2 linked regions of the Diceros bicornis minor genome follow. The protein of the gene in region 2 purifies or fractionates together with the protein of the main gene of each other region. This does not show direct contact. Links are inferred from orthologs where the notes say so. Each region holds a gene or a part of one and is shown on either strand. Other genes may lie near its edges.

Evidence for each region.
Region 1: the proteins of ITGA3 (region 2) and CD9 purify together in Homo sapiens (affinity purification with western blotting; 3 studies listed by BioGRID and IntAct, with this or other methods). This does not show direct contact. The link is inferred for Diceros bicornis minor from reciprocal best matches to the Homo sapiens genes ITGA3 and CD9.

What each region holds. Positions count from the first base shown.
Region 1 is NC_080756.1:55,467,610-55,483,718, forward strand, and holds the start of CD9 (CD9 antigen), read right to left. Parts: upstream 8,469-16,109; 5' UTR 8,368-8,468; coding exon 8,302-8,367; intron 1-8,301. UniProt on the Homo sapiens protein: Integral membrane protein associated with integrins, which regulates different processes, such as sperm-egg fusion, platelet activation and aggregation, and cell adhesion.
Region 2 is NC_080757.1:36,215,844-36,231,915, forward strand, and holds the start of ITGA3 (integrin alpha-3), read right to left. Parts: upstream 7,139-16,072; 5' UTR 6,818-7,138; coding exon 6,612-6,817; intron 1-6,611.

The sequences.
Region 1 (16,109 bases), on a different chromosome or scaffold from region 2:
CTCTCACAACAGGAAGGCACCTGGAATGCCCCCTGGCCTGCAGGTGCCATCTGAGCCTGGCCTCGCTCTGGGGGAGCCGCAGGTGGACAGTCTAGAGGGAGCCTGCACTTCCTCTCGCTGGCCTCTGGCCTGAGGCTTTGCCACGCCCTTGCCCTACCGGCCAGAAGTCCAGCATGGACACAAGCATGCTCTGGGAAGCACACTCTCCAGAGTAACGTGGCGTGTTTTCTTCTCACCCAAGCTTCGCTACTGCTGCAGCTGCCCGCTGGCCACCAGGTGCACAGACGGGGCCGTGGCCCATCAAGTGGCCACTGTCCCTGAAGCCCCTATAGGAATGGCCCAAGGTGGGACCAGAGCCTCTGCCCTGTCCCCACAGCACCATCCTGCCAGCAAAGGGCACGGGGTCCTGAGAGGCACCTGTGACACAAGGATGATGCCAGCTTCCCATACTAAGGCTCCTCCCCACCCCCGCACTGAAAGAGAATCTAATTTCTATTTGAAATGAGTTTCCTGGTCTTTTAAGGGTTATCTGTTTTAGGGAGTCAGGGCTATAATTTGATTAGAGTGGAGAAAAGTAGAGTATGGGAAGATTTCCTCAGGCTTGTGGAAAGGAAGCTTTAAAAAGTTTGAGCATAACAGTTAACAGACTGAAATCCACAGCCCCACATCACAAGAAGGAAGGTGTTGACACTGCATGAGGGTGAGCAGGAGGAAAAGTTTAGTGGGAAGGGTTTCTCGTCTCTGGAGTGCACATTCTGCACCAGGAGCAGGGCTGCTGAGGGGTGAGGGCAGCTTACCCCCCATCAGAGGGGGCACTGATGTGAGGGGAGCATCCAAATTGGCACACTGCAATTGCTCATCTAGAAGGGAAGAGGTGTTTTTGATTTGAACCTCTAAATAACTGTCTTAGTTTGTTTGGGCTGCTATAACAAAGTACCATAGACTGGGTGGCTTACAAACAACAAAAATTTATTTTCTCACTGTTCTAGAGGAGGGGAGGTCCAAGATCAAGGTGCCAGCAAATTTGGTATCTGGTGAGGATTCACTTTCTGGTTCATAGAGGGCTGTCTTCTCGCTATAATCTAACATGGTTGAAGGGAGTACTCTCTGGGGCCTCTCCTTATAAGGGCACTAATCCCATTCACCAGGGTTCCATCCTCATGACCTAATCACCCCCAAAGGCTCTACCTCCAGATACCATCGCATTGGGCTTTAGGATTTAACAAACGAATTCTGGAGAGACACAAACATTCAGTCTACAGCAGACTACCTTTTTTTGTGTGTGTGAGGAAGATCAGCCCTGAGCTAACATCCATGCTAATCCTCCTCTTTTTGCTGAGGAAGACCCGCCGTGAGCTAACATCTATTGCCAATCCTCCTCCTTTTTTTCCCCCTCCTTTTCTCCCCAAAGCCCCAGTAGATAGTTGTATGTCATAGTTGCACATCCTGCTAGTTGCTGTATGTGGGACTCGGCCTCAGCATGGCCAGAGAAGCGGTGCGTCAGTGCGCACTTGGGATCCGAACCTGGGTTGCCAGTAGCGGAGCGCACGCACTTAACTGCTAAGCCATGGGGCCGGCCCCTATAGCAGACTATCTTTTAAATTAAAACACCAAACTTCTATTGACTTGAAAAGCAACGAGTCCACAAACTAAGTATGATTTTGCTGATCTTTTCATTTAAAGCTTTAATAAATCAAGCACATTATGTATTATGCCATTGATCCAATCAATGTAGGTTTAAAGATAAATTAAACTAAAATGCTATAGAAATCTGTTTTGAATTTAATAAAACCGTCTGATTTACTTTATCGTATTTTAACCCAGTCAAGGATGTTCTCCTCTGAGCCATGTCTTGTGTGGTTTCTGCACTCGGACACTGACATGCAGCTCAGACTGGGAGTAAAAGCAAGGAGCTGCCTCCTGAGCAGTTTGGAGGCAAGGGCCTGGGAGGGAGAAGTCATGGGCCATTGGCCTGGCCGGGCCAACAGGTGTTCCCTGGAACCTTAAATATGCGTTGGGTAAGCCTTGAAGGGTTACTTTCCTACAGAGCCATTGTTTCTGCTCCCTTGTACAATGCTTGGCAAGAGGACTGAACAAGGAAGACTTATTGACTTTTTCTCCAAGTCAATAGTCCCCAAACCTCTCTATCCAGGAATATTCTCTGGAATCAAAGAAATCTGGGCCCCTCTCCAAGTCAGACGGCTTCATCCTCCCCTGCTACTTAACCAGGCCGCATACCGCTCCTCAGGAGTCCAAGTCCCCGAACTACCCCCAGGAGACATTTCTCCCCTTCCAAAGCCCTCAGAGGCAAGGCCAGAGAAGGTTCTAGTCTCCATTTGGTGGGAAGGAGGAAGAGGGAAAGACAGAAATCTGCCCTTCCCGAACAAAGACAAATCCCCAAACTATGGGGAAACCTAACCCAAGAAGCAAAACTTGTCTGGAAGCTCATTAAGTTGGATTTTTCGTGTGGACTAGAAATACAGAACACTCATTAAATTAATGGAGAGTCAAAGCCACTCCTTGGGCAATGATTAAGCTGAGAGTCAGAGCAAGGCTAGGCGGGGAGGCCAGCTCTCCAGTCGGGGCTGCTCTTGATCCGAGAACTTTCGGTTCCCTAATGCCTTTCTCCAAGGCCTTCCATCACTCCCCCATGCAGTCCCGGGGGAGTGGTGGGGCAACCGGCTTCTCATGGAGAAACACGGGATTCAAGACAAGAGCATGGGTTGCCTGGAAACCAAGAGACAAAAACCAACATGGGGTATTTATAATGTGAGGTCCATGCGCCTCCAGAAAAAAAGCAAAAAAATGGGCATAACATGTTTCTGGAGGCAGGTCCCATAGATTTCATGGGATTCCCTAGAAAGGTTAAGATCCACAAGTCGAGGATCAGAGCATACAGTACTTAAAAACTATCCAGAACTAAGTACTTTTTTGGTGGGGGAATTATTGGATGGAGGTAATTATTATAAAATTATTTCATCTGGAGACAGGACGCTGTTTTCCACAGCTGCATGCCATCACTTGTTGGAAAAGGAAAATGTCCCTGGACCAGCATGACTTTTTCCATAGGATGAAACAGGCAAGTGATCGGCAGTCAGACTTCACAAACATAAATTAAAAAAATGTATTGTTAAGATTAGCCCTTTGGTCTCCTGAATTCCTCCAGCTGCAAAGGATACCTTGGGGTAGTGGAGAACACACCCCGAAACAATGAGATTATTGCTCTTCTGTATGTAAAAGAGGTAAAGACCGTTTTTCTGCAACGCCTTGGTTGAGAAGACCTGTGGCGGGTCCAAATAAAGTCCCACTGACCCCAACCTGGGCGAGGGAGGAACACAGAACATACATATGCAGCTTCCTGAAACTTCTCCACTCTCCTCTCCCCAACTCGACATAGGTTTATCTAGAACATGCAGCCACCAAGGAGGCAAAAGGACCACAGAAGCCACGGTGACCGTGACCTCAGGTCCCTTACCCTCACAGCCAGACACACCCAGGAGAGACAGTCCAAGTTTGCGTTCTTTAGAAGAAAAGGTGCTTCTGTAAGTCCAAGGTGTATTATTAAGTTCCAAACTGTGCGGCTGATTCCAAAAGCCATGCCTCCTTATAAAATGGAATCAAACAGGAAAACAGACAAATCAAACACGGCACACCCAGCTCTGTGTGTTAAGAAGGAAGATTCACATCTGACACAAAACGAAGATGTGAGAACACTGATTTGCGAGATCCGAGGCCACAGAAGACTCATTTAGCAGAGAAAGAGCTCTGGCGAGGATGGCGTTCCATAGGGCCACTTAACAAAGCAGGTCCAAAAGGGGATGGTTTGGAATGGTGCCGTGAAAAGAAAGGGTAGAGTGTGTGTGTGTGTGTAGAGGAACCCTTTCCCTCCCCCAGATCAGGAGTCAGATCTTTGTTGTCCACAACCACTGCAGAGAAGAGCAGGGGAGAAGCCATGAACGTTGTGGGCAGGGAGAAGTCCTATTTTCCTTAGCAGATGCAGACACCTGGCCTCGCCTCACCTCTCCGCAGACCTGCCAGCTTCAGCACAAACACAGCCGGCCTTCCCAACGCTCTGGCTGTCCGGTGGCCAAAGGTGGGGAGCCATTTTACACAACAGCCCAGCTGCCCGCTCAGCGCCACGGTGAAGGCAAACAGCTTCTGGCTGAAGCAGCAGGCTGCGTGGGAGGGGCTTTGGCCCCCCCTCCCCCCCGCCCCCGCCCCAGTCCATACTCTGCCCAGACCCAGAATCCTGAGGTCTTAGGGTTTCTTTGCCGTGTAGTTTTATTTTCGGAAGTGGAGACGCCCCACAGTCAAACTTGTAGCCACACATGAAATGGAGCCAGTGTCCTGATGTGGGAAGGCAGAGGCGGGGTGGAAGGAGGCTGGCAGTACAGCAGGAAGAGAAGGACAAGGGAGCAGCATGTGAGGATTCGGGGTGTGCTCCTGGCTACATCTGTGGTTCAGACTTCCACCCTTCTTAGGGAAGAGCTCCCACCATCCTCACCGATCTACTTCCAACTGGTGAATAACAGCAGCACCAGCTGGACAGTTAACTCCGCACCTAGTACTAGGCTACTGTGCTAAGTGCATCCCATCCTTTCTCTCATTCACCCTCACAGCAGCCCACGGGGCGGACACCAGCTCCATTTAGTGATGGGGAAATCGAATCCGGAGCTGGTGCTCTGACCATTGGGCCGTACTACCCCAAATGGCTGAGGGTGATGAAAAAAGAGAACCCCCAAACAGAGACCTCACTCTGGGTGAGTAGAGGGAACTGTGAGGTTAAGAGGAAAGTGACGCAAGAAGCAGACCCCAGAGGTAAAGGTCAAATGATGCCAACCTCTGAGGACAAGCCTCAGTACCCACTGCACATTTCTATTTCCTGGCTCTTATTGTGGGTTGTGTGGGGAGGTCCCATCGCTGTAGGCAGTGGGGGTAGGGCTAGTTTCGTAGACTGAGCAGAAGGGAGCTTTTGAGACCATTTGCTTCAATCCATTGGTTTTACAGATGAGAACAAAAGTGACCTGCCCAAGGTTTCAAAGTGAGCTGGGGACAGAGCTGGTGTGAAACCTAACATCAGGTCTCTGAATTTCCAGTCCAGGTCTCTGCCCACGTTTCCCTGAAGCCTCCATTAGGTCCAGGAGGCACCATTTCTTGGGAAAGAGAAATCCCCTGCTATTTCCATCAGTGAGGGAGCGTGAGGGGTGAGAGGCAGGGAGCAAAGGGGCATAGGGAGGTGGGGGTAGGAACTTGGCCCTCAATGCAGGCCTAGGATCTGAGAGGAAGGGGGTAGAGGATAGACACGTTCCTGACCTGGCCCTAGCACCGGTTCCCCACTTCACAGCCTGAGACTCTACAACTCGGACATCAGGAAGATGTTTTCCCTCTCAACCCTTTTTGGGGGTGGGTAAGCAGAAGGTCTGAAGGAAAGGCACAAACAACTGAATCAGAGCTGGGAAGTCAGGGTTCCGGGGTGTTGGAAGAGCAGACCAGTTGCTGGTTTGCTGTGGGCATCAGAGGCCCTGCTTGGGGAGGGCAGGCAGTGCAGGCTCAGCCGACACTCAGGGTCCCACAGGGACGAGAGTGGGGGCCAGGGAAGAGGTACGCCCCATCCCCAAGCCACCCTGATCGTCTCACTGCCACTGAGGTGGGCTTCCTCTCTCTGGATCCCTGCTAGACCACCCTTCTCAGCATCCTCTGCTCATGAGGTGCTAGTGGCCCCCAGACTCACAACTCCTGGTTTTCAAGGCCCATATCAGGTCCCAAGTGCCAAGTTTATAAATTCCTGGTCTCAAGAGAGAAAGGGAAGTGGTGACTTCATAACAGTCCAAGTAGTTCCCTTAGATCATAGATTCCCTTAAAAGATATTTTTTGAGATTGTTCTCACTCTTCTTCCTTTCCCGCCCAGCTGGGCACGGCAGCAGGTTGTGATGGAAAGTGCGCTGGACTTGAAGCCAAACAGACCTGCCTTCAAACTTACTTCTGATGCTATCCTGCCCCAGGACCCTGGATAAGTCACTTAACCTCTCTGGGGACTAGTTTCCTGGTCATCAGTAAAATTAGGATAATGCTTCTTGCTCTGGTTCTATCATGGGACTTGGAAAAGGACTCTGCAGACTGTAAAATGCTGCACAAACAGATGATGATATTTCTTTATTCCATCCTCTAGCTCTAGAGGGCTTCATCTCTACAGGGACCTTAATCCAGAACTACTGAACAATAATTAATTCAGGAAAACGTAGCTACTGCTTACCCCCCTACACCAGCCCATTACCAGGACCCTTGTTGGTTTCATGATGGAGATGGAAGAGGACAGGACTAAAGCAAGGGGCCAGGGGCTGTAGCATTGGCTCGGTCTCTGTGATCCTGGGCAAGTCACCCCCTCTCTGGTTCTGCTTCCTCACTGTGAAGAAGAGGGCTGGACTGGATGATCTCTAGAGTCATTCCTAACTCTACACCCAAACATCCCCAGAGTGAGTCATTTCCATTTCATAGCTGGTCACCTAGCACCCAGCCCAGGCAGGGGAAGCTCGAATCCGGGTGGGGTGGCAGGTTGGAGATGGTAAGAGACTGAGCAGACACCGGCGTGGCCGTGGGAGCCTCCCATCAGGCTGGTAGTCTGTGCTTCCCTGCAGCCCCAAACCCTGATGCAGCCGAGGCACATAGCTGAGCACTAAGCAACAGACTGGCAGGGGAGAGACTGCTGGGAGGGGAGAGGAAAACTCCCTAAAGGACGGGTGGGGAGGGCGGGGCCAGCCCACCCTCCGACATTCTTTTCTGTTGCGCTGCCGGGGGCTGGTGAGGAGGAAGCGCAGCCTGGCAGCTCGCTGGCTGGGGCTGCTGGGAACACCAGGAGGGTCTCCCTAAAGCAGGCCAAGGTTGGGCGGGGCACACCTGCGTACCATTCTCACCAGAGCATGTGTTGGGTGTGGTTAACTCTTGCAAGGAGAGGTCAGTTTCTTACTCCGTCAGCTCCAGAGAGAGGATTAAATCAGGAGATTTGCCCCGAGGTCTGTGGGGACCCCAGTGACCAGCTCCCAGACGAATAAGTACATTTTTTTGTTACAAGCCTCTGGTGGCATGCCCCTGTTCCTACAGCCACCTCTCTTGAGAGTGGCACAGGGGCTGCCTTTCCCAGCTCCTTCTCGACTGCGGAGAGGCAAATACTGTCTATCTGTGTGCAGGGGACGTGGCCCTCAGAACCAGGACACAAAGGTCCCCTAACCACCCCAGGGGAGGTGTGGAGGGGACACTCCCCTTTCCTGCTGCCCTCCTCAGGCTCCCCATTTGCAGAGAGGCTGAGCGTGGCCAGCAGCAGGAGTCCTGGAGCTCCCTGGCCTGGTGTCCTCTCCAGGTGACCGTCCTCTCTGTGGCCCGGCCTTGCTGCTGGGTGGGCTGGCGGGGAGGGGGTGAGGCCGGAGGCCCTGGGGCAGGCACCTGATCTCCCCAGGGAAATGGAGAAACACAGGACTCATCCCCCAAAAGGCCCCAGTGGGCACCCGCCCCTCTTCTCCCCAGCTCTCCCGGAGTTCTCTCCAGTTCAGATACTTATCGCCCCTGAAAAAAAATCAAGACAAGCTAGTCTTTCAGGTAGTTTCGAGGGAGCTCCCACTTTCTCACAGCGACTCAGAAGCAAAGTCTGAGAGAATGCGGGCCTGAAGGTTCCTCCTCAAGGGTGGAGATGGGTCCCCGACTCTCACTCAGGGGCTGGGTCCCGAGGTTCTGACCCCGCGGCCGGCCCGCCGCTTCCTCTCCAGTGCAGAAGTGCCAGCAGGTCTTAGCTGAGCTCTCCCTGCCCCACCCCACCGAAGTCCCTTGGCGCGCCCGCATCCTTCCCTCCTCGCGGCCCTGCCACTTGTGAGACCCCCACCCCGCTCACAGTCTGCCCTGCCCACCCCAGTCCTCCTTGCCGGGACCTTGAGTTCCCAGAACAGGGGTGCTCCCTTCTCCCTGGCGCCTTCCCCTGCTGCATTCGGAGGGGTTTGGGGTGGGAGTGGCCACAAACCCCATCCCAAACCCTCGGTGAAGGAGAGGCCCGGGACCTGTCCCCAGACTCGAGCTCACCAGGCCCCCGTGGCCCCCTGCCCACTCGGCTTCGAAAGAGGCTCCTGAGAAGGTGCCCGCCTCGCCCGCCCCGGCCCTGGCCGAGGAGCCAGCTGGCGGCCGCAGTGCCCATTCTCCTCCCGCCCGAGTCTACCCGGCTCGAGCAGTGCCAGTTACCCGGGCCCCCGACCGCGCACGGGGTCCCCAGGGCGAACAGGTGGCCCCGGAGAGGAGCGCGCGGCAGTCGCGCTCACTCACCCAGAAAACGAAGTTAAACCCGAAGAGTAGGTATTTGATGCACTTGGTGCCTCCTTTGACCGGCATGGTGCGGGCTGGACTGGTCGGGGCCGGACTAGTGCGGGACGGGGGCGCGCGCGGCAGGGACGGGCGGGACCGGGATTCGGACAGGAGGTGCTGGCGGCTGCAGGCTGGCCTCCGGGCTGCACTTTTAAAAAGTGCCACTCCTTAGGGCGCGCGGCCGGCAGCGGCGCGCATGTGCCGTGGACCCGCCCCCGCCGACCCCGCCTACGGCCCCACCTGCCCCGCCCCGGCCCGCGCCCCGCCCCAGCCAGGTTCCCGGGGACTCAGGCCCCAGACCCCTGCCCCCGAGCCCACCCTTCCTTCTTACCCCTTCTGCCCTCCGCTCAGCCCTCTCCCCACCCAGTTGGCCGTACCCTCCTTCCCGCCATCCTCCCCACCGTCCTGGGGTCTTTCCAGACCGCCACCCCTGCTGCTTTTACCTAGGAGTTATATGGAGGCCTCGCCCTTCCGGTTGTCGCCTTGTTGATTCTGCGCTTTCTGCCCGAGCCCTCTACTGCGGGAGACCTTCCCTGGGTCGCCGGGGTCGTCCTGTACCCAGGGCTGCGGCCTGCAGAATGAGGGCTCTTCTTGCTTTGGCCTCCATTTGAAGGGAAGCTGTCTGGCTTTATTTCTCCTTGGGACAGCTCCTTGCAAACCCTCGCTCATCGAGTACACTCTTATTTGGCACATCATAGGGAGTAGGAGGAATTAGAGGCGTGCGGTCCGGGTGGGAAGATAGGTGGGAGGCTTATGGGAGTAATTCTCAGATACTGATCACGGAGTAAAATACGCCGAGGGTCGGGCAGTCCGAGAGTGCCTCCCGGACTTGTGGTTTAGATGCCCGGAAAGGGGAAGAGATCTCTGCACAGCCCAGCGGGGCATGTGGCATGTGCCGTGTGCCCTCTGGCCTGCTGGCCCTCCCCTCTTCACTTGCGGAAGTTCTGTGGCTCCTTAAACATTCCTTTCCTGTTTCACACCAAAGGATGAGGAGATTTCTTCTTCTTTTGAAGTCCCAAAACCTCTCTGTATTTTTTTCAAAATGAAATTTCATTTAGTGTCGTTATTACAAAAGCAAAACCTACTCGTTATGAAACATCAGAAAATATCAATAGGGGCCGCCCGGTCGCGCAGCGGTTAAGTGCACACGCTCCACTGCGGCGGCCCTGCCCGGGATTCCCGGGTTTGAATCCCTGGTGCGCACTGACGCACCGCTTGTCCAGCCATGCTGTGGCAGCGTCCCATATAAAGTCGAGGAAGATGGGCACAGGTGTTAGCCCAGGGCCAGTCTTCCTCAGCAAAAAGAGGAGAATTGGCATCGGATGTTAGCTCAGGGCTAGTCCTCCTCACAAAAAAAAGAAAATATCAATAAACAAAAAGAACAGAACTCAAAATTTCAGCAGTGTAGCTCTTATTTTGCTCTGTTTATTATCATCGTTAGATTTGTCTTACTGATTCGTTCGTTCAGAAACATTTTCCAGTAGCCGCTTATGAGAGTATACCCTTAGGGGTAGGAGGTGGTCCTGTTTCTGCACTCTAGGAGCTTGCAGTCCATGGGAGAGGGATTCAGGCAGCCAGACGATGGGATGCGGGTGCTCTGTGGGTCATAGAGATAGGCTTGGGGGTCTGGGGGGCTAAAGGAGGAGCTTCAAACTGGGAAGCAGTGCTGCAGAACCAGAGGGAAGGGTGTTAGAATCACAGGAGAATCTTAGGCAAAGGCTGGAGCTGGGGCTGGCTGGGGTCTGGGCTGGAGCTCACAGCGTGGGGAGGTGTGTGGGGGGTGAAGGTGGGGACCTAGCTAGGGATGAGGTGAGTAGCCCTGTGGTCCTGGACTTTGCACTCTGAGGGGAGGGGCCCCTGAAGGGTCAAGCAGGGCACCCGTTTAATTAGCTGTGTGATTTAGGTGGCTCCCTGCCTGCACTTTAGGTAGCTGGGCGGGGCAGGCAGGAGGGGCAGGCAGCAGGCCCCTTGAGGATAAGGACCATTGTTTGTGTCTCCAGCACTTGGCTCTGAGCTGCAGGGGATTAGACTGAAAGTTGAGGTGTTGTATCTGGGGACCTGCAGTTGGGTAACGTGAGGGAAGCTGCGAGAGATGAGAGGTGAGCTGAGGACGGTGTGGAGATCGGCTAGGAGGCTGTTGAACAGAGAGGAAGAGAAGTGAATTTAAGTGGGGCAATGGGGCAGAGGGTGGAGAGACTGCAGCTGAACCAGAAGAGGGGACAAGGTGTGTGTGTGCGGAGGGGAGGGAGAGACCAGAGTCAGAGCAGCAGGAGCCAGATTATGGAGGACTTCATTCATTTGTTCTTCTTCTAACGTTTCTTGAGAGCCTATGATATGTCATGTACTGTCTGTATGCTGAGATGAAATGACCTCTATCCTTCATGGAAGAATCTCAGTATAGGCCAGAGAAGTAGCAGCCCACGGGATCTTTTCGAGGGAGATGTGCCTTGGGAACAAGTAGGGGCACAGAGGGCGTCCTCAAGTCTGCCTGAGTCAGGAGAGGCTTCCTAGTGCAGGGGACACGGCAGCAACTGACTTTGAAAGGCGAGGTCAGCTGACAAGGCTGGAGAGGGAATTCCAGGCAGAGGGAACTGCATGTGCAAAGGCACAGATCGTGAAACCACAGGCCGCTGATGGCGCTGGGGAAACTCCAGCAGTGGGTGAGATAGGAAAGGAAGGAAGATGAGGAAGGAAAAGCAGAGAAAACAGGGTTCCCTTCAGTTTCCCTAATGTTCAGAGCCGCCAAGCAGAGGATTTTGGTAATGCTTCACCTTAGTCCGTCACTCTGATCCAGTATCCACTGAGGACAGCTGGGGCACCACAGTGTGAGCACTGGGGGGAGGGAGAAAAACAGACAATGTCCCAAACAGACAATGTCCCATTGTGCTGCTCTTGGCGGTCCACCGGTCCTGGGAGAACAGATCTAAGGAAAGAAGAGATTTTATCTCTTGATATTCTCCTCTCTGCCCCCAGCCACACCATGAACAAGCACAGGTGGGAGGAGTTCAGTAAATATGTAAGCTTACAACAGAAACTGCTCCTGGGTAATTGTGAGTATTGAATGAAGTAATCCACAAGGAGGGCTTAGTACAGCGCCTGCCACAGAAGTGCCCAAGCAATGTGGGCTGTTGTTACTGTTATTATCGACACTCAAGAAACAACTGGGGGGGCCTATAGTTAAGCGGCAAATTAACACACTCAAGAGGGTCCTCCTAATGTGAGTGAGGAGACCTGAGTTCTCTGCTTGGTCCTGCCCTTTGGTTTATTATGGACAAGTCAGCTCCTCTCTCTGGCCCTCAATCTCCTCACCTGTACAGTGAGCATCATTTTGCCTTAGAGATGTCAAGGTCCCCTCAATTCTGACATTCTGTGGTGCAATAATCCTCTGGGCCAAAGTGTGTTTGTTACAGGCATTTAGTTCTACAGGCAACCAGGAAAGGGAGAGATGGAAAAAACATGGTTTGCTTTAACTGGAAGGGGAAAATCTGGGTAAGCCCCTGAGTCAGAGATCACATGGAGGCAGTGAGCGCTTCCAGGCTTTGTGGTGCAAGAGTGGGAAAAGTTTTCCTCCCTTCCCTCAGGGTGTCCTGTTTCTGGAACAACCCCCCTCTCCCTCTCCCAGCCCCTATGGGCTCAGGCTGAGGGTCCACTTTGGCTCTTTTGCTCCCCCTGGTGGTAAGATTTCAACATGCAGGGGCTAGGTGAGCTAATGACTGGCCACACCCATCGCCCTGGGGCTGCTCATCCCTCAGCTGTGGGAGGCAACAGGCAGGACCCACACCCCCCAGGCCTCTAAGGCCCTCCCAAGCACCACACCAGTGGCCATTTGGGGCGTGTTTTCTCCTTGATGCTGCTGCAGCATTTGACCCTGCTGACCATCCCTTCTTAATAGACACTTCTCCATCCGTGTCCCTGGTGCTATACCATCTTGGTTCACTCCCTTTCCTTCTGGAAATTTCTGTACTGCTCCTCTTACTAAGCTCAAATGCCACCCCTTCATGAAGCCTTCCTTGAACACTCCAGTCTTTTCCCCCATGGAGGGCCTTGTTGGAATCTCTCTCGTGTGCGACTCATTGAGCTTCATCACTTTCTCTTGTGTGCACACATTTTGGCGGTGAGCTCCTCGAAAGTACGCTTGCATTTGATTAATTCTGTGTTCTGCATAGCACCCAGGCCCTTGTAGGCCCTCTGTCAACGTGTGTGGAAAAACCAAGGGAGTGGCTCTTCCTCGGTAGTCCTTGGCCCCTGCTCCCCTCTCTCAGCTCTCTCACTAAACTCTCGTCCCCTCTTGATCCTCCCTCCATTTGTCTTTGGAACTGACCTCTCCCTAAACTTGTCATGATATCAGAGGGCCTGTTGTCATTTCCACTTTACTGGGCCCCCGAATATGCCCATGTCCCAGTTCCTGAAATCCACGAAGATGCTACCTTACACGGCAAAGGGGATTTTGCGCGTTTGATTCAGTTAAGGGTTTTGAGATGGGGCAGGGAGCCTGGATTATACTGGTGGGCCTGATCTCAAGAGTCCTCCTAAGAAGAGGCGGGAGGATCAGAGCCAGGGAAAGAGATGTGAAGGTGGAAGCAGAGATCCCCGTGATGCGGGCCACGTGCCGAGGAACGCAGGCAGCCTCCAGAAGCTGGAAATAGCAAGGAAACAGATTCTCCGCTATGGCTGCCAGAAGGAACCAATGCAGCCCTGCCAGCTCATGACTTCTGACCTTCAGAACTGTAGAATAATATGTTATTTTAAGCCACTAAAGTTGTGGTAATTTGTTACAGAAGCAATAGGAAACTAATATACTTATCTCAAAATAAACATCAGTATCAGAATTCCTAATCCGCGAGGGCCTCCCTACCCTGGAAGCCGACTTCCTTTCTCCTTAGCCCTCCCACTCTTCCATCAGTCAGCACCGAACGTACCTCACCTGTGACTCCTTCTCCCCGGAGTCCCACACCTGCTTCGTGAATGTGGTCCTTGCTTCCTAGTGTCTCTCATGTCGCTGCTGGGAGGTACCAGAGAGGCTGTCCAGTTTGAAGATGAGGAAGCAAGTCTAAGGCAGGAGACAGTGATTTAGTGGCTGAGGAAAGATCAGACCTCAGGTCTTCTGATTCCAGCCCCGTGTTAGCTTGTCAGCTCTCATTCCTCCTACTACCACCCAAGATGGGGGCCATGTCTTTGAAACTCTTCTTCAGCCCAAACGAATGTCCTCCCCTCCGTCCTTTCTCCCTGTCATTCTCCCATCCAGTCTGCACACAGCACTGGACTGTCTGTCCATGTCATTGGGCTTGGGCAGTTCTACTCTCACCCGTAACTTCTGTTCGTTGCATTAAACGCACGCATAGTCCACGTGGAGGCCACCTGTGTAGAGTGAGGAGTTTATGAGGATTTCACGGAGAGGTGGATGAGGGTTGACAGCTCACATGACAGAGAGCACCATTCCAAAAACCCCTTTTGGATACGTCTTTCTTCAGACTTCCATTCTGTGGCGGCCACTCTTGCCTTGTGTCCTGCCCTCCACCCAGCCCTGCCAGCCTTCTGGCCCTCGCTCTCCTGTCCTGGAACAAGGTAGCTGTCACCTAGCCTTTCCAGTTTGTATTGCCGTCTCCCATTACCCCAGCTCGGCAAAACAAGTCACAGGTCTCAGGAGCTGTCCTCTTTAGAAGACTGGGGGTCAGGAGGCCTTGTAAGTAACTAATAGTTAATATCATCCTTTCCTCATACTCCTAAAGCTTTGCTCTTTTTTTTTTTTTGTGAGGAAGACCAGCCCTGAGCTAACATCTGATGCCAATCCTCCTCTTTTTGCTGAGGAAGATTGGCCCTGGGCTAACATCCGTACCCATCTTCCTCTACTTTATATGGGACACCGCCACAGCATGGCTTGACAAGCAGTACTTCTGTCTGCGCCCAGGATCTGCCTACGAACCCCGGGCCGCTGAAGTGGAGCATGCACACGTAACCGCTATGCCACTGGGCCGGCCCCTGCTTTGCTCTTTCCTCCATTTCTCCTGCTCAAAAACCTCCCAACTCCTCTTACTTTTAAATTGTTGGACGTAGCACTTACCACCCTCTAACAGAGTGGAGCATTTTCTTAGTATGTGTCTTGTTTCTTGTCTGCCTCCTCCCACTAGAATGTAAACTCCACTAGAACGGGCAGTTTTGACTGTCTTGTTCCCAGATGGATCCCAGTGCCTTGAACAGTGCCTGACACACAGCAGGTGCACAATAAATACTTATTAATTGTATGAAAAGCTAATGTCCCATTCTAAGATTACCATAAAAGCCCTCTGGTCTCTTGTCTTGTCCTATATTTACAATTCTGCACCCTCTCTTGGGACACTGCATGCACTCTCGCATCTATGCCTGGGCTCCCACCTCCCCTAACCTCAGCCCTGGCCCCTGGCCCGTCTTCCTCTCTTCTCCCCCTATATGCAGCCTACCCATCTTTGAGGCCAGCACGGCCCCTGCATTCCCCAGCATCCTCGGTCATCCCAGTCTACTCTGACCCTCCCTTTCAGTGCTCCTGTAGCAATTTCTTTCTGATTCACCCACTGGTCTCTGATCAGACGTTGTCCTAGGTGGTTAATTTCATGTTTCTTTTTAAATTATTTCCCCAGTCAGATTATCAGCTCCTGTAGTATCCACAGTAGGTACTCTGCAGAAACTTAATAAAAATAAGTCAGAGAACTAACGCTGGAAGGGCACATATGATGTGCCAGATGCTGTTCTAACTGCTATATAGGAGCTCATTTAATCTGCAGATGACCCTGTGAGGTTGATAGTCTTATTATTTCCATTTTACAGATGGGGAAACTGAGGCACAAGGAGGTTAATTAACTTGCTAGGAAGCAGCAGAGCCAGGATTTGAACCCAGGTGGTCCAGCTCCAGAGCCCAGGTGCTGAACTACCTCTTCATGGGGTGAATGGATGTGTTAACACTGGCGCTACTCTTTGCCTTTCTTGCCCTTTGATTGTAGAGGTGGTTGGCGGGGGGCTGCAGGTGACGCCCCAGGGGTTGTGCCATCTTGAAGGTGCCTCCCAGCAAACTGACTCCCTGAATCTCAGGGGCTGACAACAGATGGTGAGTTTGCACCTTGGTCCTGCCTCTGCTGGTGTCTGTCCTTCTGAGCCTCCCCTTCCACAGCTGAGGAGAGGGGAGAATTACTGCTTTTTCTCCACCATATGGAGTGGGGATGGCTGCTGACTTCTGTTCTGGGGGGTGGTTCTGGATTCAGGAGGAGGACCAGAGGCTGGACACAGGCTCCTCCTAGAGGGGCAGTGTGTGTGTGTGTGTGTGTGTTAAGACCTGGGACCTTAGTATGTGGATTCAGGCAGATATGGGCAGGTAAAATATAGTTGAGATGAACCTGAAGGTAAGAAGCTGTCACTAATGTCCCCCTGGGGCCTAGGGGAGGGCTCAGAGGGAGGGAGAATATTGCCATGGAGTCATTGCCTACAGATCAATGAAGTCTGGACCCCACTTCGTGGCACAGGATGCCCTTGGTCATCTGGCCTCTACTGCTACCGTCACCCGTTCCCCCTTCCGGCACCTTAACTGCTCTAGACAGTTTGCACTACATTCCTTCTTTCCTTCTCTCTCTTTCTTTCTTCATAACCTTTTTACTTTGGAATAATTTTAGGTTTATAGAAAAGTTGCAAAGATAGTACAGCTTCCCCTTATTAACATCTTATATAACCATGGCATATTTGTCAAAACTAAGAAGTTAACATTGGGACAATACTATTAACACTGCAGATTTTGCTCAGATATC
Region 2 (16,072 bases):
GAGTGACACGGGCAGATCTGGGTTTTGGAAGGAATGCTTTGGCCTCTGAGATGAAGGTAGACCAGAAGAGAGCAAGACTGGAGGAATCCTGGCACAGGTTCCCACCTCTGGGGAGCCCAAGGGGAGAACGTCTGATGGGTAGGGTGGAGTGGGTTGTTGGGGGCCTGGGTCCTTCCTCTCTAAGCCATCTGAGGACTTAGATCTAGGAGGCCTGGGTCCCTAAGTGACCTGGGTGATGTTTACCCCCTGCCACCACCTTGAGATAGGCACATAAGGAATGGGGCGGGGCTGGGTACCTGACACTGCACAATGTGGCCCTCAGGCAGAGTTCCAGGAGGGCGGGCACGAGAGTGGGGATGGGCAAAGACTATTGCCTTGCTCCCAGCTGGCCCATCTTTAGGGACACCGACTGCAAGTCCTACAAGGGTGCTTAGGGCCCTGGCAACCCATCCCATTTGAGAGAGGTGACTAGAGGACAGGAGGGCACGTTATCAGCCTTGAAATATCTCAAAACACAGTCCTTGGACCACCAGCATCAGAAATCCCTGGGATATTTGTTAAAAAGGCAAATTCCTCAGCCCATCACAGACCATCTGAATCAAATCTGTGGGGGGAGCCCTGGAACCTGCATATTTAACATGCATCCCCAAATACCATGCATTCTAATTTGAGAACCTAGCTCTACCCCGTGCTCTCCCGGCATCATCTCCCTGCAGCCTCTGGATGTTCTGCCAGGACCTCCTCCTCGATGCAGATGGACCCAGCCTCCTGGTGGCAGGCACCTCCTAGGTACCCCTCCGTCTGGCCCCAGCAACACTATCACCCTGAGGCTCCCAGCTCAGAACCTGGGCTCTGGGCCTCCTGCCAGAGTCTGAAAGTGCAGAGCAGTGGCCCCACCTGCAGCTCCGGCCTGGGACCTGTGAGGGAGCATTGCAGGGAGTGGGCAGGGCAGGGCCTGGGCATGCCGGGGCCTGGGGTGCCTCCGCCCACTGGGTGTCAGGAATGCACTGCCTGAGGGTTCCGGGAGTGGGGCGGGACCTCTGCCTGCACCTCCCAGCTCAGCACAGACCTCACCCTGGGGAAGTGTTCCTGGGGGCAGGGGTGCAGCTGCTCCACGCAGAGCAGTGCTAGGAGTGCCAGCAGGAAGGCTGGCAGGGGGCCAGTGTGGCAGCCAGGCCGGTTAGTCACCCTCTGTCTGGGCTGGGGAGGGTGCTTGGTGAGTCCGCTGCCTGACCACCGGTGGATGTCCGTCCCTGGTGCGCCTGACAGGTAAGCCTAAGCGCCTGGTTATAGGGTTTGTTCTGCCTAAAAGGGCAATTGCCTTTCTCTCTCTGAGCTGTGAATGCCTCATCTGTAAAATGGGGACAGCAGCGGTCCTGCCAGCCTCTGGAGCTGGTAGGGGAACAAATGGCTTCATTCTTCAAAAGGCCTTTCTGACTATGAAGCCATGGCCAACGTGAGCACTGTTGTTCTGATTTCTTGTAGCACCACAACTGGCCCTAGCACACTCCCAGGCCTCTCTCCAGGCACCCAGGAATTTCTGCCCCACCAAGTTAGGGAACCTGCAGCAGAGGGCAAATAGCAGACTAGTTCAGTGTTCAGAGGGAGCAGATGATGGGACATAAGTAGCACTTCTATGGCCTAAGTATACCAGGGGATCACTAAGGTGGGGGTGGGGCACTGGCAGGTAGAGTCATTCTAGGGTGGGAGCTCAGATTTGGCTGGAGGTGGAGGCTGGGCGTTGGCTACAATGCCTTGAAGGGGTAGGTCCAGGCCTCAGTGGGCGAGGGGTCTCTGGGGAGCCCAGGTTGCATTCCAGGGCGCACAGCGCAATGGAGGTGTTGCTGCCCTGCCCAAGTTGTCAGGGCAAGAGGTGGCCGTGCCCTCCCAGGTCCCTCATCTCAGAGGGAGTTGGCTGAAGGATCCTTCCTCCTAGCCTCCTGGGGTAACTACCGAACAGGCAGAGCTGGGCATGAGTCACAACTGGATTGAAATAAATCCCCTTAGCATCTATACTCTCTCGGCCCTCGCACCACACATACCCACTGATGGATGGGGAGGCAGGGCCAGTGCCCTAATCCCAGCCCCACATCCCAGGCCCCTCCCTCCCCAGAGATTCCACAGGGAGCCCCCACCAACCCCTCTGGAGTATTTTTAGCTCCTACTTGGCCTGCTCAGAGGCCCTTTAAGGCCCTCTGGCTCCCAGCCCGGGATCCAATGGGTCCACAGCCAGAGGACTGCGAGTGGATGGGGGAAGGCGGGTGTGCAGAGAGCCAGGTCCAGCTTCCAGCCACAGCCAGGTGTGGGGGAATCCAGAGGGTGAGAGAGACCTCACTGGTATTCCAATGCAATGTAAATTGATATGCAGATGAGCACATCTGCTCTCTGCCATTGGGTCTGGTCCAGATCAGACAGTCCAAAAGCTGACCCCTCCCAGACCACCACGGAGCCCACCCTCCTAGCAGCAGTCAGAATGGGGAGGCTAGGTGGGATACTTTGCCTAGCTCTTGAAGCTGGGCTGGGGGCGGGTAGGGAACCCCTCTGGGAGGTAGGGGGATGGGTGAAATGACCTTTCAAGGACTCTCAACAGCTGCCTCTTCATCCTCTCTTTTGCCTCCAGCCAAACAGCCCCTCCTGGCCTCTGGGGAGCCCCCTGAGCTCCAAGTTCCAGAAAAGTACTTCCTCACCCCTGCCCCATCCCTCTTCCCGGGGCAGTTCAAAGCTAATGGAACAGCCAAGTAGAAAGCAGTAGTCGGAGGAGGGTGGGAATGGGGGCCAGGGGTGTCAGGGCACCAGGTTGGCTCACCCCAAAGAGAAGAGGCCCCCTGGGGTGGGTTAATGCTCAGAGAAACAGCCTGTAAGATTCAACTTCCCAGACTCCTCAGGGAGGTGCTGGGGTGGCTCCAGCGGGAAGATTTCAGTTAACTTGGTTGGGCCCAGAGGGCCCAGTGCTCAGGCCAGCGGGCCCCCATGCCTTACTCCCCCACCTCAGGCTGGGAAGCAGGTTGGGGAGGGGCCGCTCCAGCTCTGAGACTCGGGGTGCTGGTGGGGGCCCCTCTCAGATGCCTGGATCCTAGCTCTGTGCCAATCCTGCTGCCCAAACTAGCCATCTCCCCAGAGGCTGCTCCTGTGGTAGCTGAAACTGCAGCCCTCTCCGTCCTCCCTACTTCTCACGCTGCCCACCCAGCCCCCTCTCCCCTTGGTGACTCAGCCCTAGAAGCAGAGCAACAAGCTGGAGGAAGCGAGAGAATGAGAGAGGGCGAGAGAAAGAGGCCTTGGCCCAAGCTTGCGATACAAAAGAAAAAGGCTGTTTTTCTTATTTCTTCTCCCTCTCCCTGGCTCCTTAGTATTTTTTTCATATTTGATCCCTTAGGGTGTTCTTCATGTTATCTAACCTCAATCCCTCTTACTGCAATGGACATCCTCTTCCCCCTTTGTTTAGTTCTGAGCAAGTCCCTTTTACTTCTTTTTCTACAAGATCAGGCTTCTCCTACCTCCTGCCCAACTTAAAGCTCCTTGGCCTGGACTGGTCATTGGAGAGAGCCAGAGGAAAAGGACACTACACATGCAGGCCTTCCGCCTGCAGCCACAACTGCTATGCCCATTTCCTCTGGCACGAGCCTTGGAGGCTGCCAGGCGCCTGCCCTGCCCAGGGAAACATGTTTTAGGAGAGCACAGCAGGTAAGCCTGGTTCCTGCCTACCTCAGATATGACCTCATCTTCCAGGAGCCGCAGCCACCTCCGCCCCAGGCTTCCAGACACCCTCATTTCCAGGTAAGGGTGAAGGGGATGGGGGTGCCCCAGAGGTGTCTCCCATAGCCCACAAGGTCAGGCCAGACCAGGATACCTGAAGTCCCAGGAGGGAATGACAGAGCAGGTGCTGGGGGCCGGGGGGTCGGTGACCATCTCCCAGAGAAACAGTCCCTCTCTTCCCCAGGGGTCCTCATGCATCTCATCAAGAACCCCAAAGCACCTTGGTCCTCTGCCCTGCTCCTCACCCCTCACTTATAAAGACCGGGAAATTGGGGCCTGGGTTAGAGTGAGCCTCCGATATTGTGGGCAGGGAACCCCAGTCCAGAGATGTAGGGGATGGGGAACAAAGAGGGTCCACACCTGGGTTTTTAACCATTTCTGGAATAAGGCCTTCTTTGACAATATGATGAAAGCTATGCTCTCCTCCCCTCTCCCCCAGAACAATACACAAACAAACAAGATTTTGCATGTAGTTTCAGGGGGCCCTGCATCTCCTGACAACCTTCTGTGAACTCCAGGCTCAGAGTTTGTTCAGCACCATGAACCCTCTACCTTTTCCAGAGAGACTTTGAGGCTAACAGAATATAAGACCACAACTTGACTTGCTGGTTCCCCCGAGCTGTGTACTCAGGCAGCTGTTCACATCTGGCTACACAGCTGGCTGCAGCTAAGCCCAGCTGGCCCAGCTGGCTCTCCCAAAGGGCCAAGGGGCAGGATTCAGTGAGATGAGGAGATAAGATATAGAACCATCCCTGGGAAAGACTGATGATACCCAAGAGAATGACCCAGAACTCTATCTAGAACTACCTGCCTCTCTGAGGTTCAGTAGTTTTAGAACCCTCTGGGCTCTTAGCAGGCCTAATGCCATCTCTAGCTGCCCAGGAAGAAAAGTAGAACTCCTCTGCTCAGCCATCTTGGGGGAGGCCCATGGGTAGCGAGAGTGGATCCAGGTCCTGGCTTTAGCACCAGAGCCCTCAGCTGCTCCTTGGAGAAGTAGGCACATGCAGAGCATTTTACACACATTACTTATTCAAGCCCCACTGCCGCCACATGAAGAAGGCGTGTTGCACTCCCCGACATGTGAGGCAATTAAGACGCAAGTATTAGTGACAGATCCAAGATGGGAGACTAGCAATGGGACTCTGGAGCCTCTTCTCTCTCCACGATGCCAAGTTGCCTCTCATAGGCCACCAGAGGTGGGAAGGAGCATATAGATCCAGGTCTAACCCTTTGGAGAAAACTGGCCAAGAGAAAGGAAATATCTCGCTCAAGGTCACATAGCAAAGGCGGGGAGCGGGGGGCTTGCAGAATCCATTATTTACACCAGCTTTCCAGTATTTACTCTGCTTTTCTGATCTCTTTACACTATGTTGCCTTATATCATGCAGATTCAGCACTGAAAATCTGAAGATCTTTTTCTGGAATGGGGCAGAAAGAGCACCAGTATAGAAACTTGTGCTGGTGGTCACCTAGGGTCTCCAAAAGATGCAGGGTTGACCAAGGCCAGACGCCAGCTGATGGGTCAGGCTGGCAAGAGTGTGGTGGCCCTAGCCTCTGCGGAAGCTAGATGGAACTGAGGCCAAGTAGGTAGGTAGACTGGGCAGGGGCTGGGCCAGCGGAGCAGGGGCCAAGGCTGGGGCAGAGTTTGGACTTTGGACATTCCAAGCTTCCTCAAGTTTCTGCAGGCCCCAGCCAGAGTTGGGAAAGGTTTCAACACACCATTTATCTGACCACGTCCTCTTGCTAGGCAGGGTTAGACACCAGGTGGGGGTTGATGTCTGGTAGTTCACTCAGTCCAAAGAGGTAGATGGAGCCTGCCTAACCTGTCCTAACCACCTTCCCTCCTGGGGCAGCCTCACCTCCCCCAGCTGCCCTCTTCCCCCAACTGCCAACCTCAGCACACTGAGCCCCTAGCAGAGAAACCTCTGAAACCTGGACATGCCCCTCTGGGCATGAGTGTGTATGGGGCAGGGGGGCAGGGACACAGCAGCTGGATGCAATCTCCTTCCCCTCTCCTCCTGTGCCTAGCTCTTCCCCTTCCTTCTTGCAGCTGTTGGGGAAGGAGAACAGAACAAAACACCATTTCCCTCTTCAAACCAAAACAAACACACTCAGGGTCGAAGATTCAACATGAATCTGTGGAATGCAGGGAAGATGACTAGTGGGAGGGCTGCACTGCTGGGGGCTGCTGGGGCAGGAGTTGGGAAAGCCCCTCCTCTCTCTTCTACTCCCTCATCCTCCAGGGGTCAGAGGGGGCGCCTGGACAGCTCCAAACACGGGGACTTGCCCATCACTTCACCCTCAACCGCCAAGCAGCTGAGAAGGCCCTCCAGTCTGGCTCTGCATGGGGTGTGGCTGGCATGGCCGCAGACTAAATTCAAGGTGTAAAGGCAGGGGTGGGCTAAATGCATATGCCTATAGGTTCTCCCCAGGAAAGGGGGAAGGTGGACCCACTAGGTGTTTATCTTACAGTTTTCTCCAGCTCCCAGCTCGGAGAGAAGAGGGGTTTGGTAGGCACTGGGTTCACAGAATGGGAGGGGGCTCAGGAAACGGCGACCCCACTTCTGCTCTCAAGAGAGGTTTAAAGAGCTGAGAGGCTGCGTCTAGACAGGTACTGCCCGGGTCAGCACTTGCCAGTGATTACTGCCCACCATCCCACACCCAATCCCTCCACTTCCCGCCAAGCCTCGGCAGCAAGAGGGCTGCCCGGGTCCCCGCCCCCTTAATCCTCGCTCACAAGAGCCGGCGGCCCGCGGGCCTGGAAGCCAGCGGGCCCGGGGCTGCGACTCAGCTCCGGATCCGCACCCTGCACACATACCCTCTCTGTCTCCCACCCCACCCCCGCCAGCCACACTTACAGGTAGCGCTGCTGCCGCTCCGTCTGCCGATGGAGGGCGACCGAGTAGCCAAAGAGGCTGCCGGGGTTCCCGGCCTCCTTCACCACCAGGAATCGGGTGTCCAGGTTGAAGGCGGAGGTGACGCGGCCGCCGGCGGCCACCATCAAGGCGAGCGCGCAGAGCATCGGGTGCTGCACGCGGGAGCCGTGGCGGGGGCCGGGGCCCATGGCTGCGGGCGGGAGCGGGGACCCGGGCAAGAACGCGTGAGGGCGTGGAGCTGGGAATGAGGACCTGTTCACCTGCTCCCCGCGCCCCCGCAGAACACACGGGCCGGCCGCGTCTTTGAGCCCCGCCGCGCTGATCCGTTTTTAGCCCCTAGCCCTAGTCAGCTTCACGTCCGCTCCGGGTCTGCGCTCTCAGATCCCCCCCTTGGAGGTCCGCGGTCTATTCTCCCGCCTGCCCTGCTGCAGGGTCACCGCCCCTCCGCCCGGGGCACCCTGCACCCCAGCTCGTCCCGGCCGCGCCCCCTTGGCCTCACTGTCGCCTTCGATCCGGGCTCGGCGGCGGATCTCAGCAGGCGGACCGGTAGACCGCAAGGAGGACGCGAGAGAGGGGTCCCCCCCCGCGCGCCCCGCCTCCCCACGCCCAGACCCGCACCTCCCCACCTTGCGCGCCCAGCCCAAGCTCCGCTTTCCTTCCGGGGAAAGAGAAAAGGTCCCGGCTCCGCCGCCGCCTCTTAAAGGGGCAGCACTGCCCCTCCCTCCTCATCCTCCCTAACCCGACTCCGCCCTCCCCCCCAAACACCTGCCGGGAGCCCCAAAAGGCTTGGATTTCCCCTCCCCGCCCCTTGCTTCTCCCCAGAAGCGTTGCCTCTCGAGCAAGATGGATTGGACGGGCGGGGCCGTGGGTGGGATTTGTCCGGCCGCTTTGCTGCGGCTGCTACTGCTGCTGGAAAGGCCGTTCCAGGCGCGGCCACTTCTGCCGGCCGCGCCGGAGAGCCCCGCCGTTGGCGCATCTAGGACCTACACCCGCGCGCCGCTGGCTAGAATGCCTGACTCGCCTCTGCCGCGCTGTGAGTCCCTGAGAGGCGGCTGGCCATCTCTGGGCGTTCTTCCTCGCGGTCGGCCCCTTCACTGCCCTTGTCGAGATTTCTTTCTCTTGACCACCCGCCCCAACCCACTCTGATCCAAGCTGGGAATGGTCCCTCAGCAAAGCCAGGCTGATATTTAGCAGTGGTAGTAATCAAGCATCGCTAATTGTAATTAGCAACAAGACACCGGTTTTCCCAAAGGTCTGTGCCTTCTGGTATCTGTTGATGTGGAAATGAGTCGCTTCTCAGAGTGCACTGCCTGGCCAGGGAGCTGGGCCCAGACTGGACCCATTTCTTCTCCACTCTTGCCTTCCGGGCCCAGCACAGCAAAATTTCAAAGGTCCCCTCCTCCCACTCAGGCTCAGACTGAGTGTTTGGAGACAGGGCGGTGACGGCAGCCCCCGCAGGTGTGTAGTCGGTGGCACCAGGTGGAGAAAGGTGGGCGGGGCCCAAAGTTCTGGTTATCCGCAGAAGACAAGAACTGAAAGGGACCTTCAAGAGGTCACTATGTACTTACTTTACCTCAAGTTTCCCTTATTGTAGCACAAAGACTCATTTCCCCTTTTCTCTAGGCTGAAGGAGCTTTCTTATTTAGGTCCAGCAGTTCAGCCCTCAGCGTTTACTCCCTTGGAGTTCAGTTTTGAGCTCCTATCTCTGAGAGTTTATAAGAAGAAGAAAACTACCATTTAGTAAGTGCTTATGCAGCAGCAACTATGCTAAGTGCTTTACAAATATATTAAGTTAAATCCTTATAACAATCTTTGAAGTGTTATCTCTGTTTTAAGATGAGAAAACTGAAGCTCAGGGAGGTTAAGCAACTTGGTGAAAGCCACACAGCTCGGATTTTAATCCTGTGTTATCTGACCCCAGGGCCCTTCTTCTTCTTTTTTCTTTTTTTTTGAGGAAGATTGGCCTTGTGCTAACATCTATTGCCAATCCTCCTCTTTTTTCTTTTTTCTCCCCAAAGCCCCAGTACATAGTTGTAGAGTTGTAGCTCTTCTATGTGGGACATAGAAGACGCCTCAGCATGGCTTGATAAGCGGTGAGTAGGTCTGCGCCCAGGATCCGAACCGGTGAACTCCAGGCCGCCGAAGCTGAACGCGTGAATTTAACTGCTACGCCACTGGGCCAGCCCCCATCTAGGGCCCTTCTTGACCACTTATGCTAATAATTAACATTTGTGCAATACTCAGCGCAGATCTAGGTTTGGTGAGGCCTGAAACTTGTACAATTTGGAGCCCTTGTTAAGGAAAAGAACAAAGAATTAGGCGTACAAAATTAGATTCAGAGCCTGGGAAGGGACTTGAGCCAAATTTTACAGCTTATGAATCATTTCACGTGCAGACTCTCATTTCATCCTCCCGGCCTCCCTGTGAGGTCAGGATTATCATCCCCATTTGACTTATGAGGGAACCTGGATGTCCAAGGTCACGCAGCTCACAGGAGGCAGAGCTAGGACTGGAAGCCACTGACCACAGCTGTGTCTTTAAGAGAGAAACTCTAGGCAGATGTTGGTGAGACAACTAGACATAACTAAACAAAACCAGCTGCGATAACAGCGTTCTCTGTGGTGTTTGGGGAGAGGACACTCATTGCTATCTGCCTTTACAACAGCATTTGTCCCCAAACTGTGACTCCAGAGCCACCCAGCCTCTCTCCATGGCCCACCTTGTGGCTCAGAGCATCCAGGGGTTAGGAGATGTCTGAGGTCAAGGAACAGGAAGCTGATCTGGATGGAAGTTGAATGGTCACCTTGCTCTCCTTCTGGCGGCTGCTGGGTCCTCCACCTTGTTCCAGAAGAAAGGGAGACAGCCAGTGCCGGGAGCTCAGGGGCCACAGTGGACACACTGTGGGCAAGGGTCCCGCCTGAAATAGCTTTGAGAGTCCTGTGATGACAGATGGGCTCCATGTCAGGCGTTATCTCTATGGCCATCCCAAACAGGAATGACCAGCATGTCCGATCCCGGGGCTGGGAGCAGGAAAGGGATGAGGGATGGTTTTTCCACTCCAGGGGAGTGTCCAGAGGGAATGTGGGCGCGGGAGCAGGGGTGCCTGGTAGGGGGAGGACCCAAGCTAAGGAATGTGGGGGAGTTTCAAACCTGGGGGAGATGGAAGGGGGGTGGAGGGAGACATGGAGACTGAAGGGTCTCTGGGCTGGAGAGATGCAGGAAGAGAAATCCCAAGTTCATGTCAAAGGTTCGAAATCCTCTGGTTTCAGTGACATTATCATCCACATCCTCATCTCATCCCTCAGTTGACTTTGTCATGTCAACTCTTCCCGATGCAGAAGGGACCTGCCTAGAAATGTAGACACGGAGAGAGAAACAAGGGCATGTGAATAACATGTGTGATGAGGAGTCTGAGTCCGTTTTTTGATGTTTGACAGCTGACAGCTTTGAAGCTGTCACCTCTCCCTCTTCCCCTTGTGCCTGCCACCTGGACAAGCCGACAGGAAAGCCTGGGTGCTGGGCTTCCTCCTTTGGCGTCCCTGGGAGATTCAAACCATGTAAACCCCTTCCCGCACAAGTACGCACCCCGACCTCACTCCCTAACCACAATAAAACCCCAGGCAACCTCCTTTCCTTGCTCTCTCAAGCCATTTCGGACCTGCTTGAGAGGCCGGCCCTGCTCCGCTAGAGACCTCGATTATGTAAATAATAAACCTTTTCAGACCCTCTTGGTATGTGTGTGGTGTCATCAGCCTTGACACTGAACCAAACCACAGATGACCACGACAACATGCAAACTGTGGGTTCTGCTGCGGGGTCAGGAAGGCTCCTTGGAGGAGGAGTATCTGGACGAGGGAGAAGGAAAGGACTAGGGAGAGGAAGCCTTGGGAGAGAGGAAAGCAGAAGAGTCAGGGCTGAGTTTGAGGTGAAGTTTTCCCAGTCGCGACAACGACAACGTCAAATATTCTGTAAAGGCACCTTCTATGTATTTGCACCAGCCTTCCTCTGCCTGTCTCCTCCGGCACGTGCCCCATCTCGCTGTCCCCGAGCCCCAGGCCGCACCACTTGCTCACTCACTTCTCACGGGAAGGTCAGGTGTGAACGTGACGCGCACAGGCAGCGGCTGGAGAGAGAGCGATGGAGTGGAATTGCGGTGCCAGGGGGGCGAATGCAGGCTATGTTCTGCCCTCTCATCCTGGGCAAGTTACTTTCCTCCTCCAGACCTCAGCTTCCCCATCTGTGAAATGAAAGGGCTGGAGGAAATCCCTCATTCTTCCTCAACCAGCATCCCTGCGTCCCAAGGCTCCTAATATTTGTTTAACTAAGTGGATCAAAGCTCTGCTATTGAAGCGAGACTTGGGTCTCTATCTCTGACTTGAATTGAAAATGCAAATGACTGAAGAGGGAGGGAGGAGGGCGGGGGGGGGGAGTGGTGAAGCATGAATGGGTTTATCAGATTTCCTTTCTCCTGTGACCCAGATATGGGGCTGGCAAGGCAGGCGCCTGGTCCAGGCAACTTCCCTGGCTCAGAACCTGTCAGCCTCAAGCATTCATTGACAACCTGCTTTGTACCAGCACAGGGCTGAGAACCCCTGGGGGTGTCAAAGATGACCCAGCGCATCCTCGGGAAGCCGGGGTTTCCTCCTGGCCTCACAATCTGAAAGCTCTCAAGTTTAAACAGCCTAATCCCACATTGCATTGTATTTTAGGGCTGGTGCTTGTGGGGCCGCAGGAGGGGCGTTAGAACATTTTGGGTACAATAATTTGAGCAAGCAGCGAGGCGGGCTGATCAGAGACAGGGGCAGAGGGAGGGAGGGAGAGGGTGAGTGAGAAGGACCCAGGGCACTGATTTGCCTTGGACTTCAGGTACAGGTGTGGTGGGGCATGCCAGGGGTGGGAGAGGGAAAGAGCAGAGGAGGCAGGCCCCAAACATCAGGAAACTTCCCTACCAGCCAACCCCACCCCACCCCCATCTTTCTAGTTCCTCCAACCCTCTCATGATCCCTTTGCTGCCACCCATGGCCTGGCCTTGCTGCACATGCCCTGCCCTCCTGGCTGGGAGATTAGGGCTCTGGTGGGCTCTACAGCATTCTCGATCTCATGCCAAGGTGGCCCCTTCAAGGTTGAGAGGCCATGGGGGCCCATGTGGTAGCCCCAGCTGAGCTGAGTCCCCAATCCCCAGGGCCCTTGCTATTTCCTGGGGAGATTCCTTTTTACCGGCAGGGTTCTGTGCTCAGGTGGGAAATCTGGACAGGTAGGGGGCTTCATCTACGCCCCCCACCCCTACTAACTCCCTAAAGACTCCACTAGGGGTGGAGGGCCATGTGTGGTTGTCCTCGGAGAGCTCCCACATGTATGTGGATTGGAACGTGGGTTTGTGCATGCGTTCACGCTTTTGCCTGTGTGACGACGTGTCTCTGAATGTTTTATGTACATCTGAATGTGGAAAGGGAGCAACATTTGTTGAGCACCTGCTGTGTGCCTGGCCTTCTACGTATGTTATCTTCTAGTAACCCTATGAAGTGGAGACATCCCCCACTTTACAGCTGAAAATACTGAGATGCCCAAGGTGCAAGGGTGTGAGTACCTCCACGAGGCACCCACCACCTCCCGTCCACCCCAGTCGTCTTCCAGGACACCACAGCTTAGAAGTCACATCTGCTGAGTGGAGTCACCTGTCTGTTGTCCCTGGAGTAAGGATCCTTCCCTTGCGTTATTGTGGCCCCTTCCAGCTCCCCAACCTGGCTTCAGCCCCCTCCGTCTCACTGAAGCCTTCTCTCCTTGGGCACCAGCCTCCTCTGATGGGCAGACCCAAAAGCTGTCTTTGGTTCTTTGCCCCCGACCTTTCTAGGGCAGCAGCAGTGACCCTGTGGACTGCCCTCTGCATTTAAACTCCTCTGCACCCTCTCCTGGCCCTCCTTCCTGACTGTTCCTTCCCAGCACCCTCGCCCCCTTGGTGAGACTCCTCAGCCCACCCTGGGCTTCTATTCACGGTCCTCATCCCTCTGTCTCCCCAGACCATCCCCTGTGCACTAGCATTCTCCTACACGCTGGGGACACCCGCCTAAGCTCCTCCACACTCCAGCCTTGATGTCCAACTCTCACCAGCCACCTCCAGCTGGCCGACCTCAGGCTTCTCAGATTCCGAGTGTCCAGAACCGGCTCAGCATCTCCCCCTCGTCCCCACAGCCTGCTCCCTGTAACAGCCTCTGCCTCAGTGCCTCGTCCCCAGCAGGATTACATGGACACACTGGGCCCAGTCCATGCCACTTGACCTTTGCACATGCTGGTCCCTCTGCCTGGAATGCCCTTTACCCCCTTGTCTGCTTGGAAAATATCCACTTGTTCTTTGAAATCTTTCACGAGTTTTCTTCCTTCACTCCTGCCCCCTGCACCTCTGCGTGTGCATGCATACACGTAGCCACTCTTGAATCTTCTAGGCCTTGCACTGACTTGTAGCCTGGACTTGTAGTGTGATTATAGACTGGCAGGGCTGTGACCTCGGACAAGTCCTTTCACCTCTCTTAGCCTCAGTTTCTCACTATAAATTGGACATTAACATACCAGACTCACAGGTTTGTTCAAAACTAACAGAACTGGGACCCAGGAGGGGCTTGCTAACTCACCGTTGATTACACCCATATTTCCAGCACCCGTGCCAGTCTCTCACACACAGTGGGTCTTCAACCACCGAGTGTCCAGCTGAATTCAGCCGGCCACATACTCTTTGTGGCCGTAAAAAAGGGAGCTCAGTTGAGGGGAGTGAGAGGCCAGCTCTGTCTCATAAATATCCTCTTGCTCCCGGCCCCTCCCCCACCACGGGATCCTGTTGGGACAAACGTCTTGGCTCAGTGGCTTGAAAAGGAAAGTCAGAATTCTGAGGCATGAATCGCTGTCCCTACTGACTCACTTCCTCCTCCCCGCCCGCTCTGGACGGCCAGGCCCTGAGTAACACAGGTTTTAGCCTCCTACCACCTCTTGCCCCTGTGCCGGCCTCTCCAGCCCCTCACCCCTGAGCAGCCAGCGGCAAGAAAAGCAATGGAGCCAGTTACCGCTGCCGATTTGAAATCTGCTTGCAAGTTTCCGCCAGCTAAGGAGTTAAACTACAATGCAGGGAGACACAAGCCTGCTCTCAGGACCCCGAGTCTGCTGTGCAAGGCAGGGCGTCCTTCTGGAATTTGACCTGGGAGGCAGCAGAAGTTGCCCTTCCTCATAATGGCCCTCTCCTTTCCAGCCCTGATCACCGAAGTTCTCACCATTGGCAACCCTCCCCTGAAACTTCCTATTAAGATGCAGGGACCCCTACCTGGCAGGGTATCACGTGTGCTCCCTGGCAGGGATGGGGCAGGATGTTACGGCATCGCCCACAGAAACCAGGGCCCTAGGGTGTAAATGACTCAGGCAGCCATGAATGCGGCGGGGGAGGGAGGGAAAGGGTGCTGGAGGGGAGAAGAGCTGGGACAAAGAGTAACTTAGTGGGGGTGGGTGGGGTGGGCAGAGGTTCCAGACGGGAACTGTTATCGTGATGGGGGCAACGATGAAGGAGATTTCACCTTCCTGTAAAATTATCCCCCAGGGTCTTGGTCTTTTCCCTCTGGGGGTCCCATCCCCACCTTTTCCTGGGCATCAGGGACTCCTCTGAGGGGAGGAGTCTGATGGCACTTGGGAGATGTCAAGGCCGTTCCCTCAGTGGCAGAACTGCTCTGGGCAAGGCCCCTGACAGGCGTAGATCCTAGGCAGAGTGAGGGCACGGCCCACCTCGACTGCTAAGAAGGGAACTCGGGGTGGGGATTGGGGGAGGCCAGCCAGATGCATTGGAAGGCACAAGGGGGCAGTGAGATGCAATAGGCAGGGCGGTGGGGCAGTGATCCCAAGCACAGCTGGCTAGAAGGGACATGCTCAGGAAAGCACTTGGGCCGGGAGTTTGGACTCCAGCTTGCTGGCTTGGAACTGAAGGGAGCTTATGGGTTCACTCCCCAACCCCCTCCCCCCGCCCCACCTCCGGGAGTGAGCTGACTGCCTTTGTGGATTCAAAAGCTTCCTCTGGTTAGGAGTCAAGGAGACCCATTGGGGGCCGATACGGGGATGGAAATGAGAAGGAGTGAGGGTCTGCCTTAAACTAGAGGTGTAGATGAGAGAGATTTGGGCAAGGGACATGGGCAGGAGCTGGTGGCTGTGCGATGCAGGGCACATGGGAGAAGTCAGCAGCAAGGACAGCCAGTGAGTCTGTGGGACCTCTAGGTCTCCGAGGTGGAGGTGCAGGACTGGCTGGCAATCTGCCCCAGGCCCCAGAACAGGGATGGCGATAGCCTAGGAGGGACCCCAAGGTGGTGCACCCCAAACCCACCAGCAGAGGGAAATTCTTAGCGGTCTTTCCCCAGGAAAGCCAGCCTTGGATTTGGTGACGATCAGGCCATGCCAGCCTGGCTCCACGCCGTCAGGCTGGGCCCACAGCAGGCTCACCCAAGATATCCGCCTGGGGCCCCTGTTCCCACAGGCCTCTCACCATCTGGCCCTGGGCTCCAGCCCCTGAGCTCTGCCTTTTCTTCCTTCCAACCCCCTTGTTGTTCTAGCTCTTTTGGTGACCCCAGTTGCAACCCCAGGGGCCCCACTTCATTCCATGCCTACCCTCCTCTCTGCACTCACAGACAGCCTTAGAAGACCTCAGAGCACTGTACACCCACCTTTGCCACCAGTGTGCATACATAGTTGGGCCCTGGCTCACCCCAGACAGTGGGGTCCCCCAGCCCAATGCACATTAGCCTCTAACTCACCTCTGGTCACCTCTGAGCCTCAGTTTATTTGCAAAGAGGTCATGGTCATGCCCAACTCTGGGGGCTGTCGGGAGGTTAACTGAGATCATACATGGGGAACACCTGGCATCGGGCCGTACACTGTACCCTTCCCTTCTCTTCCCTTAGACAATTGTCACTCAGGAGGCCTTCTTATTCCCCTCCGATCTGACCTCATTCAAAGTCCAACCTTGTATGCCTTGCAGAAACAAACCCAAAGCCCAGCTCCTCGGCCCAGGGCTTGAGGTCCTTCATGACCACCTTGCTTATCTTTGGCCCTTGCCCTCCACACTCACATTCTGCCCACACAGCCCCAGCCCGCCAAGCGGATCTTCATCCCCCAGATGCCTGCTCACCCCTTTCTCGAGGCCTTTGCCTGCAAGCAAAGGAGGAAGCTCCAGCTTCCTCCAGCCCATGGACAGCTCCCCTTCCTTCAAGGCCAGCTGAAACCCACCATCTTCCCAGGCTCCCTGGGTCTCAACAGATGCTTTCTGCCCCAGCATAATCCTGTTTTTCCCTCCAATAGAGCATTTGTCACATTAGGCCAGATGTCACTTTTTAGCTTGAGCAAAGTGGCTTAAGCTCTCTGTGCCTCAGTTTCTCTATCTGTAAAATTGAGTTAAAAATTGCACTCTAATCATAGAGTCATTC